Linked DNA regions of Danio rerio. The protein of the gene in region 1 purifies or fractionates together with the protein of each later gene. This does not show direct contact. Links are inferred from orthologs where the notes say so. Each region holds a gene or a part of one and is shown on either strand. Other genes may lie near its edges.

Evidence for each region.
Region 2: the proteins of dnajc3a (region 1) and dnajb11 purify together in Homo sapiens (affinity purification with mass spectrometry; 3 studies listed by BioGRID and IntAct, with this or other methods). This does not show direct contact. The link is inferred for Danio rerio from reciprocal best matches to the Homo sapiens genes DNAJC3 and DNAJB11.

What each region holds. Positions count from the first base shown.
Region 1 is NC_133184.1:31,168,014-31,172,295, reverse strand, and holds the start of dnajc3a (dnaJ homolog subfamily C precursor), read left to right. Parts: upstream 1-1,334; 5' UTR 1,335-1,428; coding exon 1,429-1,510; intron 1,511-2,012; coding exon 2,013-2,123; intron 2,124-2,520; coding exon 2,521-2,645; intron 2,646-2,992; coding exon 2,993-3,067; intron 3,068-3,662; coding exon 3,663-3,815; intron 3,816-4,282. UniProt on the Homo sapiens protein: Involved in the unfolded protein response (UPR) during endoplasmic reticulum (ER) stress.
Region 2 is NC_133184.1:34,325,034-34,328,030, reverse strand, and holds the end of dnajb11 (dnaJ homolog subfamily B member 11), read left to right. Parts: intron 1-772; coding exon 773-932; intron 933-1,065; coding exon 1,066-1,130; 3' UTR 1,131-2,195; downstream 2,196-2,997. UniProt on the Homo sapiens protein: As a co-chaperone for HSPA5 it is required for proper folding, trafficking or degradation of proteins.

The DNA.
Region 1 (4,282 bases):
AACATGGTGGCGCAGTTGGTAGCGATGTCGCCTCACAGCAAGAAGGTCGCTGGTTTGAGCCTTGGCAGTTGGCATTTCTGTGTGGAGTTTGCATGCTCTCCCTGTGTGTGCATGGGTTTCCTCCGGGTGCTCTGGGTTCCCCCACAAGTCCAAAGACATGGGTGAATTGGGTAAGCTACACTGTCCGTAGTGTATGTTCTGGTCCTCCTCGGGGGTTGAGCTTTGGGCTAATGACCCACCTCGATCAAAAATTAGATGTTATGAAACACCAACATGGTGCGGCTAAATATCAACTTCGATATGAACTGCTCTGGGAGTAAGTAATTATTCTAAAAATGATGAAGTTAAAAAATGGTGATTGTATCAGTTGCACAAGGTTATCATCCTTTTGTTGTGTGTCAGTTAACTGAAAAGTGTACTGCCATTACCAAGCATTGGACAGATGATGCATGTTCAGTACTTTGATTTGTAAATGCAAATTTTTTATAGCAAAAACAAAGCAACTATCTTCTTCCAAAGGCCCATGGTTACAACTTTTTAAATTAATCTTTGAGAAACACAAAAATCCTTTCTGAAAAAAGTGTTGCATGCAGAACTGTTGCAAACAATGTATTTGTGTTGAATTTAAACATTCAAATTAAGCTTAATGACGTTCAACTTAATTTGTTTGTATATATACACCATTTCTTAAAAAAATGTTTTGTGTAACAAAAAAAATCCTACAAATTATTTACTAATGTTCCTGAATTGTTTGTCAGATAAAGTCTTAAACCTAAAGTGTCTCTTTTAGACACAGGATTTTTTGTTTAAAATACCTGTATACTGTATGTTATGTTTACATATTTCTTATGAGGATTCCAGGACAGAAAAGCGTGACTATCTGAATTGTCTGAAAGTTCCTGCCAGTCACCTCAGGAATTGAAACAAAGAAACAACTGAGACTGCTACACTGTATCAACATTTAAGGACTTGTGTAAGTGCATCCTTTTTTATCCCAGAACTATGAAAAAGATAATACTAGATACTTTTTATTTTTATTAGCGCTTCATAAAATGACAAAGTTTGACAATTAAGGTCACATCTGGTGGCAGTCTTACTTTATCATAAATAATAAAAACATCTTTTTCAGAAGGATAAACTGTACAAGTTTCTTATCGTAACCACATCACACAGCTTCATTCCTCTCTCCACCAATGTGAAACAGACACTGCCGCGCATGCGCAAACTAAATCAAAATAATGATGCCGTGGCTACTCTCCGTTGAGCAGTGCTTGACGGGCGGGGCTTAGAGAAATATCAGCCAATCAAAGCGACCCACGACCAGTGAGCATGATGTCCGCTGGCCTGACAGATATGCGAATGCCCAGCGTGTCTTCGCCAACTTTATGTATTAAATCAGTGATTTGACGTTGGGAAGAAAAAGAAAACATGGTTGCCGTAAGCCCAGTGGCGCACAAATTGCTAAGCTACGTTCCTTTCCTGCTAGTTTTGATCGATCTTCGATATGAAGGTAAGTGATCAGTCCTTGTGCTGGTTAATTATAAGAAATTATTTTAACCATGTTTGTTGTAAACTGATAATTCGTCTTCGTAACATCTGTTTGAGGAAGTGCCTTTGTTTTTCTCATTATTAAAATCAAAACAAAGTGAAAACAACCCAAGCTGAATGTCCACATATGATACTCATAAAGTGCATATGGTGAACTGTCACAGTAGTCAGTATGATGACACTGTGTTTCACTGAGGTTTCCACTGCTGTACTTCACTAAAGTCGTTTCAAACGTAGTTTATCTGACTATACTCAGTGAATACATGTACAAAAAAAGATTTGAGTTGAGGCATTATGCCAACCATGATAACTACAGTCTATTTGAATGTGCACTACTCTACTACAGGTATGTTTACTACTGAACGGTACAGGTAACTTAGTGCGTGTACAGTATACGTCGTTATACTCTGTGGTTTATTCTAGGCTTCAGATTATTTATTTGTTATGTATTGTATGTGTCGCAGGAGTCAATGGAGGGAAGGATGGTGGCGTTGAGAATCATCTGGAGATGGGGAAGAAGCTTCTGGCTGCAGGACAGCTGGCTGATGCTCTCTCTCACTTTCACGCTGCTGTTGGTCAGTCTTCTTAATTTAGTTTTAGTTTCTTAATTTAATTTCTAATTTTTAATTAGAAAATGTACCTCTTAAAGCAATAGTTCACCCTAAAATGCTCACTGTTGAGTCATAAGGGATGTATATGCTGTTGTTCTTTCAGACAAACTCAATCTTAGTGGTTAAAAACAATTTATTTTTCTTCTGTCAGCTTTGTAAGTGTAGTGAATATTGTGTTTTTGATCAAATTACAAATTCATTGAGTTTTGACATATTCATATTAAAAAATGTATAAAGTATTATCACTGGTTTCTGGCAAGCCCAGAAATATAAGGTGTACTCTGTCTTTCTGTATACATATATTTATCTAATAGTAATTATCTATGTATAATATCTATCTATCTATCTTTCTAATTTTCAGATGGAGAACCCAAAAATTACATGGCATTTTATAGGAGAGCAACTGTATACCTAGCCATGGGAAAGTCAAAATCTGCACTACCAGACCTCAGCAAAGTCATCGAACTTAAACCGGACTTCACGTCGGTGAGTTTTCAGATTCATTGCACACATTAAAGTGGCCCTGTAATGCTTGGGTACCCTGGTTTTGTTTTTGAGGTCTCCTGCAATATGTTTTCATTCAGCCGAGGCTGTCTATTAGGTTAATAATTTAACAAGGTCTTGTAACAATAAATGCACCAAAATGAACAAAATACCCATCAAATTTAAGATAAGAGGGTATTACATTTTGTGCAGAATTAAACTAAATCTTAGCCTGCCTCCTTTATTATTTTTATATGTAATATTTTTATATCAATTTTTTTTTTCAGAATTTCAACATATTTTCACATGGTTTCATCCAAAAATGAACATTGTTTGTTTTCAATACTCAGGCAAGGCTTCAGAGAGGAAACCTACTGCTGAAACACGGTAAACTTGATGAAGCTGAAAGTGATTTCAAAAAAGTGGTGAGTAACATTAGGTTCGTAATCAGGGATGCACCAATCAGATACTTCTAGACAATTCTTAGTCTGTACTATAAATGACTTCTTACAATAATCCACACAATTTCCAGATGTCATATATTATTTAAATTATTTAAATATTAAATTGTGACAGATATGTTGTAGGTTTCATTCAAATGTATATAATTTTTGTACTCTTTACAGTGCGTTGCATTTTGTATTATATCGTTAAATAATTCTGAAACTGTTATGAAAGTGAGGCAGAAATATTGCAAATAAGATCAGTGCTGGTTGAACACAGTGTTTAAATATTCAGGTTTTATGTATTAAACTAAAACTGTTTGATCAGTGTATGCCTATTTAGCATGGAAAGAAGTTTTGAGATCATTGTTCAAAATCTGCCAAATTACAGTGCTTTCTACATGTCACAATTTCAAGTGTATCACCTATAATAAAACATGATTTAATTTAATCTTCCTTCGGCAGAGGTGGTCAGTGGGGTAAATTACAAGTCTAATATAATAAAACTATTGTGCTGTTCTGAAACATATTATCCATATATTCTCTTAAGGATAACGCTGTGTCTTTTTGTCATCAGCTCAAATCAAACCCAAGCAGCAGGGAAGAGCAGGAAGCACAGAGTCAGCTGAAGAAGTCTGATGAAATTCAGAGACTGGTGTCGCAGGCACAGAGTGATTTCAAACACCGAGAATATAGCTCTGCCGCATCACACCTCGACATCATCATTGATGTGAGTTCACCTCTATCAGGGTTTTCTCAGTAACTAAAACCATAAAAATGCATTACTTTTAATTAAGTAAACGCTAACTGAAATAATATATTAAAATACAATTATGGACCAAAGCAACTGTATTTAAAAAAAAATATATTTTAACTTGAAGTACTAAAATACGACTGTTTTTATGTTTAAAACAGATTTGTTTTAAATATACATAAAAGACATTACTTTTGATGTTTTATATATAAGTTTTTAATGTTTTTTTATCATATTTTTTATTTGTTATTAATTAGTATAATGATTCATTAGAATATGTATAAAATATTATAGTATTTATATCAAAGTATTTTAATAGAATAGAAAATTTAAAGAAATTGTATACATAAAGGGATTTTAATAAATCCTTGCTGAAAATGGGTAAAATGAGTTAGTGGCAAAGTAAAGGACAGTTCACTCAAATTTGAATTCTTTCACCCATT
Region 2 (2,997 bases), about 3.2 Mb from region 1:
ATGATTATAAATTGCTTATAATTGTAAATTATATATTTGTAAATTATATATTGAATACTTGGTGGGCTTATAGCCAATCCTGTTGATATAAAGAAATAAATTTAATATGAATGTCATTAAATATCTATTTTAAAATGTCATTTATTCCTGTGATTACAGTGTTGAATTTTCAGCAACCATTATTTAAGTATTCAATGTCAAATGGTCCTTCAGAAATGATTATAATAAAATATTATTTATTTCTTTAAACAATAATAATTATTTTATTATTTTTTTGTCTACAAAAGCTTTAAGAACATAATTTATTTGGAATATAAATATTTAACATTATCTTGTTAACATTATTCATTCTACTGTCTTTTTTTATTAGTGTAATGCATCCTTGTTGAATAAATGTTCATTTAAACAAAAAAGAGAGCGGTCTTACTTGCCCCAAACATTTAAATGTAGTGAATGTGGTTTTACTCAAATATGAAGCTGAACAACTCTGATCATATGTTGAAAATAATGTAAATCTTGAAATGTTAATTTCTGGAGGAATCATCATGTGACACAGCAGTCTCTACATAAAAAACACAGTAGAAAATAGTCCTGTTAAATTTGCAATAATGTTTGTAATGATATTTTTTATAGAACTATATTATGCTCTGTATTTTTCATTTAATGTATGTAAACTTTGTACAGATGTTTTGGTTGATAACAATCACATCCAATTCTGCATCTCCTATGTCTCAAATAAGACTCCTCACAAACTCTTCTTGTGTTCTTGCAGGTGCATATTGTCAGAGATAAAATCACTAAACCAGGATCTCGTATTTGGAAGAAGGGTGAGGGCCTACCAAGTTTTGACAACAACAATATTCGTGGATCGCTCATAATCACCTTTGATGTAGATTTTCCCAAGGAGCAACTTGATGACCAGCAGAAAGATGGTAAGAGAACAGTTGACTTTTGGTCTATTATTTTATATAGAGAGACTGTAGTCTTAAAAATTACATATGAGGTGTTTAAAAAATATTCTGCTATTTCTGAGTTAATAAATTCTTTCTTTCCATTTTTCTCCAGGTATAAAACAGCTTTTGAAACAGGCACCATCTCAAAAGGTTTATAACGGACTACAGGGATACTGACAGACTAGCCAAGTAAATCAGGACTGAATGCGTGAACCTTTCTGCCCTACACACACACACACACACACACACACACACACACACACACACACACACACACACACACACACACACACAAATTCAAATGCACACAGAGGAACAAGCAATGGGGTGTATTTATTTTTCATATTGTTCTCAGGAAGGGTTGACGTTAAAGTTTTTATTTTTTTTTATGATTTCTTTTTCCTGATTTAAGTTTTTAAATGCCTTGTTTTGTCATAAAAAGTAGTTTTATTTGACCCCCCCAAAATGATAACTTTCTCTTTATATGGTCCACAGTTTCAGTAAGTAGTTTAAAACCTTTTTCATCAGTTGAATGTTTGAATGCTACTTTTCTGTTCTGACCAGTCAACCACCATCCACTCATGGATCAGCATAATGTTTAGTGCCAGTTGATTTGAGACCTGCAGCAGCAACAACAGAAAGAAAGAAAGAGGACTGAAACTTCAAACCAGAGGACAATTTAAATACCTGCAACTCAAGAACTTACTCTCCAAGTCTTTTAAAAAAAGAAACAATTATTTGAACGGAAGTTCACTGAACGTTCTCAATTTAGACTCTTCAGTCTTTGGTCCACTTGTTTTAAGGAACAAATTTATTACGGTTGTTGCAGCTGGTGTTTTTGTCCTCACCAAGCTGCAAATCCTGTTTGTTTGTTTGTGTGTATTGCTCCACTACTGCCTGGTTCAGATTTGCCGCCTGGATACAGATTCAGTTTCCTCTAAGGCACTTATTTGGTTTTTGAAGTTCCAACAGAAGACCTCTTTAACTGTACAGTTCAACTCTTTCCTGTGATTTATTTTTTATCATTTTTTTATGTGACGGATTCACTTTCATGTTTCTTTAACAGCCCCTCCTGATGTTCGGTCCATTAGGTCTGTTTCTAGTTAGTCATTTTCCTTTGCTCTTTGTGGACTGCACCAGACAAATCAGAACAACTTAGGATAACTTGTGCACTAGTGAAGGAAATATCATCTGCCATATTCAAAAGAGAATTAAAAGTTTATAATTATGGTTAAAAACTGACTTTATAAGAGACAAGAGTATTTTGTGTTTGTACAAATGTTTTTGAAAAATGGGTTTGACGTTTTGAACTACACTTTTTGTTATATGATAGTGGGTGGCATGGTGGCTCAGTGGTTAGCACTGTGGCCTCACAGCAAGAAGGTTGCTGGTTCGAGTCCTGGCTGGGTCAGTTGGCATTTGTGTGTGGAGTTTGCATGTTTTCCTTGTGTTGGCGTGGGTTTCCACCGGGTGCTCTGCTTTCCCCCACAGTCCAAAGACTGAATTGGGTAGACAAAAAAAAAATTGGCCATAGTGTATGTGTGTGTGAATGCATTGCAGTATTGGAAGGACATTTGCTGCGTAAGATATGCTGGAATAGTTGGTGGTTAATTCTGCTGTGGCGACCCCTGTTAAATAAGTTACTAAGGAAATGAATGTTTATAATAGTCAACAATGTCAATTATTAGCTAGTTAGGCAAGCAGTAACTGACATGTCCAGCAGAGGGCAGCAAATGATACAAGAATGATACAAGAATGAAGATACAAACACTAGTTAACATTTCAAGCAGATCAACCTTTAAGATGACAAAATGTATTGTTTAATACACCTTTTGGGTTTCAGGACTATCAGAAACCTGTCGGAAAATATACAAAATGCACCCTAAATATATGCTTTTAAAAATTTTATTTACAATACGAAAATGATTGTCACCCTCAAGTGGTTCCATAGCTTTAGGTTTCTTCTATTGAACACAAAAGAAGATATTTTGAAAAATTTTAGAAACCTAAAACCATTCACTTCCATAGGCAATTATACATTTTC